Mus musculus: one gene and its partners. The protein of the gene in region 3 purifies or fractionates together with the protein of the main gene of each other region. This does not show direct contact. Links are inferred from orthologs where the notes say so. Each region holds a gene or a part of one and is shown on either strand. Other genes may lie near its edges.

Region 1 (3,750 bases), on a different chromosome or scaffold from region 3:
GGACTGGTGCTGGCTCATGGGATGGGTCTTAAGTTGGGCCAGTTATTGGTTGGACAGGTTTCTTTTTTCAATTCACAATTTCCAATTTCTGAGTATTTGATTCAGTTCAAAAATAATTGCTTCATCCCAAGTGCACAGATTATGAATTTGGAAATAATTTATGAAATACCAGTCTTCCTGACACAAAGTGACACTGTTATTTTTCCTGAAGTAAGAAATAGCTGTTAGAGCCAGTAAGCACTGTGTAGATCTAGTGATGGTCTCTGACACTGACATTCCTTTTGGTATGTTCCAGTCTTAAGACCATCAAGTCATTGACTTGGAAACAAGCTTTCATAATAAACAGACAGAAAACGATCCAAGTACAATTTTTTAATAAAGATAATTACAAAAGATGGAAAAATCAGCTCAGAAAGGCCAATTGTTTCTTTAATAGATCCGGCTTTTGACATAATAACACATCAATTTAAATACAATCACATAAAGCATGGTGGAAAAAAAAATTTGCTTCATAATTAGAAAAACTCACAATAAAACTTGCCAAGAAAAACAAAAACAAGCCATTTTGAAAATAAATACAGTCCATGCCAAAACAGTATAAAATGAAGCCAATGTCCTCAAACAGGGAAGGTTTCTTATCCCAGAATCGTCTCACTTTTCGAGGTTCCTAAAGTTGGAGAGTCAAATTCAAGGGTTGCTGAGTTGTTCTGACTTGGCTCTGTTGAAAGAGGATCATGAAATATTAAAAGTAATAGTCTTGGTTTAGGAGCACTGACCTGGCTACTTGCACAGTCTTATAGATTCACACCAAGCTATTCACTGTTGTTGTTGTTGTTGTTTTTTCTTTTTTTTCTGAGCAATAAAAGCCTTAATCTTTCCAGTTGTTTTACAACTGAGCATTCTAAGTTATCCTTCAAAATTAGCAAACAACTGGGTGACCAAGCACACGTGCTTGCTTCTAACACAGACTCTCATTCTTCAGCCCAGAGTGACGATTTAAAAATCACTATGTAGCTTAGTGTGGATTTAAATTCATGGCAATCCTCTGGGCTCAGCCTCTCCAGTGGACTGAGATTATAGACTCAAGCCTCTTCACAGGTGTGGATAGCCCTGGGGCTTACTTATTATATTTGATGCTACTTCCTTCTCCAGTGAGGGCCTACAAACAAGCAATGAGTCAGCACTCAGGTTTACTTCCCATAAACCTGCTTCCCACCTAATTTGTAAAATAAAGGAGAGCTGATGATTGGGCAGATAAAGGGAAGGTGGAGAAGAAGGTGGGGAGAGAGAGGAGAAAATAGGGGAGGGTGAGGATGCAGAGGAGGGGGAAGAAGAAAAGTGGAGCAGAAGCACGTGGCCTGGAGAAACTGCAAGTTCTAAGGGCTCTCACAGTTGTTGACGATGGTAGTGTAGCGGTAGATCTGCCCATTCTAGGCACACAGCATGTATTCATATTAATTGAGTTGTGTTTCATTGCCAGGGCATATTTGGGTTGGAGATTTACCGCAACACTTCACCTACCTAGCCATACATGCATTCTGATAACAAAATTCTCCAATAGGCTTTCACTTAGCCCAATGTTTTTTCCTTAAACTAGCCTGTCTCCTAACATCAAAGTATTCTAAGCACAGTAATATGAGCATCATGAAAAACACGATTGCATACATAAAAGTTACCGGTCAAATAGCCTAAGCACGTTACCCACACGCAGACCTGCACTCATTGTATGTTCTCAGGCTGTGCCAGTATTTCTCAAGTATGCATGCCCCCGCCCAACCCCCAAGACATGCATGACGTCTACAGACACAAGCATCGCTCACCCTTTGGGGTCTGTTTTCTCACCACTATTGTCCTTGGATTTGTCTTCTTCCTTAACATCTAAAGACAGAAGAAAAATATTGATGTCTATTTTGAAATATAAGACACACAATATATATATGTATGTATATAGTGTATATATAATAAATGTTAAAAACAAAAAAATAATTTAGCTTCTTGCCTTTAGGATCACTTCCTTCTTACAGTGCAGACACAGTTCTCTAGAATGTGGGTCCCAAAGAATGAACAAACTCTCAGGTAAGAGGAAAGGGTATCTTCCAGGGAAAACTGTAAAAGGACTGAGGCACGGAAGCAGTGGTAAGACAGAAGGAGCTCAAGAGAACTGTGTCTGCACTGTAAGAAGGACGTGATCCTAAAGGCAAGAGGCTAGATTATGTTTTTTGTTTTTAACATTTATTTATTCAGAGTGTGTGTGTATGTTTGGGCATCCACACCATGACTTCCATAGGGAGGTCAAAAGACAGCTTGTAGAAGTCAGGAGTCTTCCTCCAACATGCAGATCATATGTAATCAGGCTTGGCAGCAAGCACCTTTACCTTGCTGGCCCACAATATCCCATTGTTCTAACCTTAAATTTTTAATTACTACTAAACTGAACTTCATAACTTAAATACAGTAATTAAAGTAAATGTCCCAGATTAGCCAGAGTATTTTCTCTGTGTAAATTAGTTATGAAGCAATGGCCTCATGGAGAGGTGCAGGGACAGCAGCACGCTTGGGCAATGCAGACACTGCAGGGCACTGCTGTCACCTCCCATACAAATCTACATGCCGACAATGGAGATTTCACATTTTAGTGTCTTGGATAATTCTGGCTAAATTTTTACTCAGTGCCAAGAGGGGGTGGTGGTGGGTCTTATTTGAGGTTATGACCCATAGATTATTGTGGTATTTTGTCTAAAATACCAAGAGTCAATTTACTTTATCACTTTCCTATTTGGAAAAAAAAAAGAAAATGCAGAAGATATTTTAAAATAGAAAGAAACTGAGTTGGAGGTGGTGGCACATTTCTGTAATCCCAGCACCCAGGCATCTGAGAAAGGACAATGGTGTGAATCCAAGGCCACCCAGTAAGTAGCCGGAGCAGCCATGTCTATATAGTGAGGCCTAGTAAAGCCAGGCAGCCTCACTTGACTAGTAGGTCAACTAAAACTTGCAGCATTATCATGTTTAAAGAGGCTACTGCCCACTCCTTACCCCTGCACAGTTCAGCATAGCAATGAGAAACCTGAGAGTGCTAACGAGGTGCTGTAATGGCATGCTAAATAAACACTCTGAATGAAATACCGGAAGACACCAGAAACTGCCCCTTCCTATCTTTCCTCAGTTTTAGTTTCTTCAGTTCCTAAAGAGTCTTCACTCTTAAAGTAACTTTTCAAAGGACTATGTAGCTTAACTTTTGCTACATGAAGTCAGCTTTAACCAGTATAAATTATTTAGAATTTTAGCCAGGTGTACTGGCATGCCTTCAATCCCAGTATATAAGAGGACAAGGCAGAAGAGCACTGAGTCTAAGTCCACCTAAGCTACAGTAAATGTTCTGAGGCCCAACATCTGTAACTACTGTCATCCCCTTAACCCCATCCCATGACATGTAACGTTTACTACTATGTTATTAAAAGGAAGGTTTCTATACCACAAAGAAAATTTGAGCACAACTGTAAAACCTTTAAGTCAGCTCTGAAGCACTAAACAGTAAGCATGAGCGGTAACTAACTATCTCTTACACCAGGAAAAGTTACCTGCCTAAAGTGAGACGTGTGACTGCAGGATCGCTAAGAGACACAGTGCAACCCTTAAGTAGGGAAAGTGAAATGGTCACCAAAACATAAACCGACCTGTCTTCTTGTCCTCTGTCTCCTTCTTGTCTTCTTCAATCCTAGCCTTCTTTGCTCCTTTCTTATGATCAGC
Region 2 (3,650 bases), on a different chromosome or scaffold from region 3:
TTTACAAAGGGAGGTTCATTTTTAAAAAATTAAAAAACCCTCCCCCCCAACTGTCCAAACCACCTGTGGGTCCCAGGCCCCAAATAGGGTAGGTACACACACAGGCAAGTTCCTATAGGCTGTGAAGCCCAAAAAGGGACGTTACTGGCAGTTACAGGCAGTAACTAACACCAGAGGGTGTCCAACCCCTGCAAGGACACACACACACCAGGGTCAACCCTCCCTCACTCCTTACTCCCTTTGATACCAAAAGGAATGAAGATTTGTATGTCCTGGGCACCCACCCCTCTACCTCTCATCCCACCTCCCTTCCCCTAAGATGCTCAATCCTCCAGGACAATGGGCTCATTGGTGCTGGCAGGATGTGAAGAAGCGGGCAGAGGAACTGGGGGCCGCACTGTCATCAGCGTTGGTTTCACCTTCAGGGGTAGGTTGGGCCTTCGGGCCGCTCGGCGCATTTCCAGGTGAGTTAGAGCTTTCCTTAAAGCCCTGGCCAAAAAGAGCAAGACAGAAACAGGAAAGCTTGATGAGCATCAAGACTCAACCAGGTTCAGCTCCACAACGCCCTCTACAGTTCTACCCTCTGGTACCCACATTCTCTTGTGCACCTATCTTTCTCAGATACGCCTACTTCCAATGCTGGACAACTTGGATTGCCAGCCTCTCAGCCCCTCATGGTGGACTCCCTCCCTACCTGGTGTCCTTTGTGGCCACAAATACCACTGGATTGGGAGCATCAGCAGGGTTTAGTTTCTGACGCTTGGCTGCTGGCTGTGAGCTTGAACGAATCCCTGAAGCCAGAGGCCTTCCATTGGCAGAGAAGGGGACCCCTGCCCCTGCCATCTGGAAAAGGATGGGGTACATAATGAAGGAACTACCTTCCTTAGACTCCTATTAGAAACAAAAGCCCACCCTGTTCAGCTTTCCCAACCCACTCTGTCAACTCACAGTCTCATAGGAACGTTTCACCATAATGCCCCCCAGGCCTCGATTCTGGGTCAGCTGGTTTCTGTTGATTGGTGTCTTGGTACCCCGAGGTGTTTTTGGTTTCAGAGGTGCCTGAGCCACTGTCAGTAGAGGGAGAAGGGGGATGAAATAGAAAATGTTCCCACTTTCCTTGCCTATGTAGTTTCATTACCATTCTTTCCTCCCTCTCTACCCTGACCAGTTGTTTACTCTAATGGCCTAAAGATTAATAATGGAGAAAATGGCCTATCAAGCTACTTAACCTTATTTAAAAACACATTATGCTTTCAGATCAGAAAATACGTATATAAAGCCACTTCTGTGCCAGAGATGGAGCTCAACGGTAAACCACTAAACCAGAACATATGAGGTTCTGGGTTTTGATCTACAGCACCACCACAAAAAACAATAACAAGAAGGATCATCATAATAATAAGCACACACAAAAGCTCTAAGTTGTGTGGACTCAGTGTCAAAGAAAAACTCTGGGGAAGAAGACTTAAGATAGTAAAATTTAGCTGTCAGCCTGACTGAAGAAAAGACTCTTAGAGAGGCTGGCACCACCCCAACTGTCTCTCCACCTTCCACCCACCCTGGATTGGGTGTAGTTCCCCATCTCATACCCAGATCTTTGACGATAGTTGCCAAGGGCAGCCGCACCAGAGGGTGAATTTTCAGTGGCGTCTTGGCAGCCTTAGGAAGTCGGATCGAGCCTGGAGAAGAGAGGAAGGCTCTGGGTACTCTGCAGTGAGAGGGGAACCCCTGGGTACTCTGCAGTGAGAGGGGAGCCCCTGGGTACTCTGCAGTGAGAAGGGAACCCCTGGGTACTCTGCAGTGAGAGGGGAACCCCTGGGTACTCTGCAGTGAGAGGGGAACCCCTGGGTACTCTGCAGTGAGAGGGGAACCCCTGGGTCCTCTGCAGTGAGAGGGGAGCCCCTGAGTACTCTGCAGTGAGAGGGGAGCCCCTGGGTACTCTGCAGTGAGAGGGGAGCCCCTGGGTACTCTGCAGTGAGAGGGGAACCCCTGGGTACTCTGCAGTGAGAGGGGAACCCCTGGGTCCTCTGCAGTGAGAGGGGAACCCCTGGGTCCTCTGCAGTGAGAGGGGAACCCCTGGGTACTCTGCAGTGAGAGGGGAGCCCCTGGGTACTCTGCAGTGAGAGGGGAGCCCCTGAGTACTCTGCAGTGAGAGGAGAGCCCCTGGGTACTCTGCAGTGAGAGGGGAGCCCCTGGGTACTCTGCAGTGAGAGGGGAGCCCCTGGGTACTCTGCAGTGAGAGGGGAGCCCCTGGGTACTCTGCAGTGAGAGGGGAGCCCCTGGGTACTCTGCAGTAAGGGGAAGCCTCTAGGCACTCTGCAGTGAGAGGGGAGCCCCTGGGTACTCTGCAGTGAGAGGGGAGCCCCTGGGTACTCTGCAGTGAGAGGGGAGCCCCTGGGTACTCTGCAGTTTTGTTTTGGTGTTTTGAAATGGTCCTACTGTGAAGTACCAGCTGGCCTAGAACTATTATTGTCCTGACTCCACCCCTCCAATGCTTGGGTTATACGCATGCCTAGCCTTGGTTTTTGAGACTGGGTCCTAGTAAGTAATCCAGGCTAGCCCAGAGCTCATTACATAGCCCAGTCTAATAGGACCTAGGTAGCTATATCCTGTCTCAGCCTGAGGGCTTACATTCTAGGCATGCACCACCAGACATGGCAAATCAAAGTTTCTGAAGGAACTTCACTGTTCTCTTCTGTGGCCAAGATCTCTAAACACCCGCTGTGGCCTAGTATCCCTACAGTCACTGGGCTCTGGCCAGAGCAACTTTGGACTCATTGCTAGTACTCCAGTCCTTACACTCTGCCTTGATGGCATTGGCATTGATAGGTGCATAGGGTCTTCGGGCAGCCCTCCTTGGCTGTAATAGATCTCGGCACATTCGTCTGGCTAGACGAGTTAGCTTTGTGGTCTGGAGCAAGAAAGTTTGCCTGTTCTTAGCCAGCAACTTGGCCCGGTTAGCACTGGTTGTATAGGGGGAGAGACTTTGGGCTTCAGGTCTGGATAAATGACCTCTTGAGTGTGGCTCCTAGAGGAATGACATATGAAAAAGAGAAATCAACAGTGCAATTCTGTCCTCTGTCTCCTGCAGACAGCCAACTGTTTCTACCTGACCTCTTCAGTGAAACCCCGCCCAACCATCCTGGCTTCCCAATACTTAGCAGGTGCTCCTACGCATTTGAGTGTCTCCATGGAAGAAGAGGTCAAAGGTTTTCTGGCCTTTGCCTAAAGCACTCATAGGACCACTACTCTCCCCATCCCCACGTGTTCTTGCAGTTATTCTTTTTTGTTTGTTTGTTTTTTCGAGACAGGGTTTCTCTGTGTAGCCCTGGCTGTCCTGGAACTCACTTTGTAGACCAGGCTGGCCTCAAACTCAGAAATTCGCCTGCCTCTGCCTCCCGAGTGCTGGGATTAAAGGCGTGCGCCACCACGCCTGGCATCAGTGATTCTTTTCTATTTGTTGAGACAATATCTAAGTATGTAGCCCCAGCTAACCTGGAGCTTGCTTTGTATACCAGACTGGCCTCTAACTCACCCACCTGCCTCAGTCACCATGCCAAGTTCCCACCCACTGATTCTTACTGTGGTGCCCCGAGCAGCCCCTTCAAGTTGGGTAGGGGTCTTCAGTCCCCCGTATTTCTTCCAATAAA
Region 3 (3,650 bases):
CTAAATAAACACATATGAAAATCTTTTATAAAACCAGCAAGCAACCTGGGTACATTACAATGTTCAAACATTTCAAAGCTAACTTTGGGAAAGCAAGTAGATGACCATGAGTTTGAAGATAGTCTGGTCTACAGAGTCAATCTCAGGCTAACCAGGGACACATACACACCCTAACCCAACCCTCATATCAAAAAAAAAAACAAAACAAAAATAAAACCCCAAACTTGAGGGTTGAAATAGAGGAAGAGACCCTGGCTCAGCAGTTAAAAAGCATTTGCTGCTCTTATAGAGGCTACAGGTTCAGCTTTATGCACCTACATGATAGATCACAACCATCTTCAACTCCACTTCTATGGGGACTTACCACTCTCTTTCGGCAGAGGAACCTGGCACCCAAAATACACACCAACACACCAACACACACACACACACACACACACACACACACACAGAGAGAGAGAGAGAGAGAGAGAGAGAGAGAGAGAGAGAGAGAGAGAGATCATACACATAAATCTTCAGAACCAAGGGACTCATCTTTCTGCTGTGATCTATAGCTGTTGAGATGATAGTGAATTATTGACCTCTAACATACCAGAGAGAAAAATCAATCTGTAACACATAAAAATGTACACACTCCTGAAGTATCAGTACATGAAGGCCAAGGCAGGACCTACAAGTTCAAGGATAACATGAGATATAAAGAGAGAATCTCTCAAAATCTTAACCAATAATAGGCAAAGCAGTACTTGTACACCGACCTTCACAGCAGCCATAGTCTCAATAGCCCAAAACTGCAAATAACTTCCCAATTAAATACATACACAAAATGCAGTAATATCAACATAACTGAATACTAAATGATTTAAAGGAAGCACTGGGTGACACAGTCACATAACATGGAAGAACCTCAAAGGCTGTACTGGTGACCAGGGGTCAGTGCAAAGCACTTGCTAAGCTTTCATTCCACACTGAGTGTGATTCAAACTAGAAGAATCCAGGAGTTAGGCAGTCCTAAGGCTGGGAAAGTAAGAGTGCTGCAACTAGCAATTTTAATGGACGTGGGGTTTATTGGGGGAGGTTATGAAAATGAATTAAAACCATGGTGATAGCTATATAACAATGAAAATGCTAAAACTTGTACACTGTACATAGGTTAACTTCTGTAACAGCAATCATGTTAATAAAGTTGTTTCTCTATCTAAAAGAAAATAGAAAAATACCAAATACTTACAGGGATTCCTAGAAGCTGCGGGTCCACAGGCTGACGAAAGGGAAGAGATTCTGGGTCCTGCCGGTAAAGTGCCTCCAATGTTGGCATCAGAGCCTGTCGTAATTCCTCTGGTTTGAAAACTTTAGGGAGAGTCCATTGAAATTAATTACTGACTGAGCAAAGGGATGTTAAAGACATGCATGTTCAAAGTTCTAAAAGCATCTCAAGTATCCGAGACACTGAGGTGACATGGTCCTCAGAGAACCCTGACTAAGGGCTCACTTGCTATTTTTAATTCCCACTCTGATTTAACTACTTCCTGTAAAACAACAGAGCTATTCCATCCCTCATAGATGAGTTACTTTTCCTGCTGCAGGTTTATTGAGAATGAACTTGGCCAAATAGAAACAGAAATCAAAGGCTCCTAAAAACACAGAAGAGACTTCGCAAAGAAACAGTCCAAAAGCTGTGTGTGGAAAGAGGGGTGGGTTCTGTCAAGCGGAGCTGGCAATGTCCTCTTTGAACTGGGGTAGCTGCACATGGCAGCACTTCTAACACCAGGCACAATAATGCAGGAAGATGTTTGAGGTAAGTTTGTGGGATATAGAGACATTAAGGTTCTGTTATGGAATGCAAGCTATGAAGAGTTCAAGAAATAAGAGATTGATAATTAAAATTTTTTAATTTAATTTATCTGTGAGCATTTGTGTACCTGTGCACAAATGCATTTGGAGCGTTTAAACAACAATTTGCAGGAGTCTTTCCAGCATGGCTGCCATTTGCGTAATGTATGTCTGTGTCTCTCTGTTTGTAGACGAAGGGTCAACATTAGATGAGTGTTTCCATTCAGGTAAATAATCTTGTTTTCCACATTTAATACTTCATTTTATGTATTTCTAGGTTTGTGTGAATTTATGTACTAAAGCCTGACGACAAAAGTGGGTGTTTGGTCCCTGGAATTGGAGTTCCAGGGAGCTGCTTCGAGTCCAGTCTGCATCCTCTGTAAAAGCAGTTAAGCCCTCTTACCTCTCTCCATCCTCTATCCCCAACACCTGCCAAATTGGAGTCTTAGTAGTGTTAGGGCCTAGACTCACCAACCAGCAAGTTCCAGGGATCCTCCTGTCTCTACTTCACCAGTTGTCAAATTACAAGGGTACCACCAATGCTCAGCTATAAGACAGGGTCTCACTGTCAACCTCAGCTTTATCTGGAATTTGCTAAGTAGTAAACAAGGCTAGCCTTGAATTCAGATTTTTCTGCCTCTGGCTCCCAAGCACTGGGATTAAAGAAAGATGTTCACACACCTGAAGCATGCACACAATTGGTGGGAAACAAATTCAGACCTGGAGTGTTTGTGGGACAAGCATTTTACCAAATGGGTGACCTCCTGAGCCTTTACTTACTCTTCTTCTTTGACTGTCCAGGAGCTGGGGAGGACTGGGTAGCAGAGGTGCTTGGCTGTTCTTCCTCCTCTTTCCCATCAGTTTTTAACTCAGGGCCTCTCTCCTCCATTTCTGTAGGTTCTACTTTAACATCCTCACCTTTAGCCTGAAAGGCAAGACAGGAACTTTCAGTACTTTACAGACAGATCCCTGGGAGTAAATCCATTACTATCACCTTGCTTATTTACTCTCTCACTCCTCCAGTCTCCTTTCATAAGAACCTCACCTCCTTTGTATCCTCAGGTTGAGCATCTGCTGGTTCTGGCTTATCCACCTCCATTTTAGACTCCATTTTCACTTCCTGTGAAGGCTGCTTCTCAGGAATGGTCTGAGAATTCACTTCGGTGCTACTAGTAGATGGAGGGTTTGAGACCTGGCCTTCAATGCTCACAGCTGGCTGAGAAAGCTGGAGAGACAAAAAGAAAAGCACACAAAAGCTTGTCAGTTGCTTAGAGTTTAACTTTAAGTTACACAGCAGTGACCATTTGTGTTGGGAGCAGTGTCACTGGACCCACTGATGTCTCTTACTCAGCTCATCTTAAGAATGGGAGGTACGGAGCCAGGTGTGGTGTCGCACGCCTTTAATCCCAGCACTCGGGAGGCAGAGGTAGGAGGATTTCTGAGTTTGAGGCCAGCCTGGTCTACAGAGTGAGCTCCAGGACAGCCAGGGCTACACAGAGAAACCCTGTCTTGAAAAGCCAAAAAAAAAAAAAAAAAGAAGAAAAAGGAGGAGGAGGAGGAGGAGGAGGAGGAAGAGGAAGAGGAGGAGGAGGTGGAGGTGGTGGTACTGGACTCCCAATGCTGGCTGGTTTGTTTTACTTGAACAGCTACCAAGTTTTTGGTGTTAGTTCCAAAGAGGACTTCCTTAGAGAATTTGATCCCTGGTAGAGAGGAGAACCGACTGCTACAGGTTGTCCTCTGACTTGTGTGTTTACGTGTAATTAGTCCCATAATGTTTTAGTTTAATTTCTCAGTACTGCAACTTAATCTGTTTCAAA

The links.
Region 1: the proteins of Ep300 (region 3) and Hdac2 purify together in Homo sapiens (affinity purification with mass spectrometry; 4 studies listed by BioGRID, with this or other methods). This does not show direct contact. The link is inferred for Mus musculus from reciprocal best matches to the Homo sapiens genes EP300 and HDAC2.
Region 2: the proteins of Ep300 (region 3) and Mta2 purify together in Homo sapiens (affinity purification with mass spectrometry, with the first as the bait; 3 studies listed by BioGRID). This does not show direct contact. The link is inferred for Mus musculus from reciprocal best matches to the Homo sapiens genes EP300 and MTA2.

Annotation. Positions count from the first base shown.
Region 1 is NC_000076.6:36,998,497-37,002,246, reverse strand, and holds the end of Hdac2 (histone deacetylase 2), read right to left. Parts: coding exon 3,678-3,750; intron 1,879-3,677; coding exon 1,821-1,878; intron 719-1,820; coding exon 688-718; 3' UTR 359-687; downstream 1-358. UniProt on the Homo sapiens protein: Histone deacetylase that catalyzes the deacetylation of lysine residues on the N-terminal part of the core histones (H2A, H2B, H3 and H4).
Region 2 is NC_000085.6:8,948,329-8,951,978, reverse strand, and holds part of Mta2 (metastasis-associated protein MTA2), read right to left. Parts: coding exon 3,583-3,650; intron 3,029-3,582; coding exon 2,800-3,028; intron 1,680-2,799; coding exon 1,590-1,679; intron 1,068-1,589; coding exon 949-1,067; intron 844-948; coding exon 695-843; intron 490-694; coding exon 324-489; 3' UTR 1-323. UniProt on the Homo sapiens protein: May function as a transcriptional coregulator. Acts as a component of the histone deacetylase NuRD complex which participates in the remodeling of chromatin.
Region 3 is NC_000081.6:81,627,701-81,631,350, reverse strand, and holds part of Ep300 (histone acetyltransferase p300), read right to left. Parts: intron 3,059-3,650; coding exon 2,879-3,058; intron 2,759-2,878; coding exon 2,614-2,758; intron 1,351-2,613; coding exon 1,232-1,350; intron 1-1,231. UniProt on the Homo sapiens protein: Functions as a histone acetyltransferase and regulates transcription via chromatin remodeling. Acetylates all four core histones in nucleosomes. Histone acetylation gives an epigenetic tag for transcriptional activation.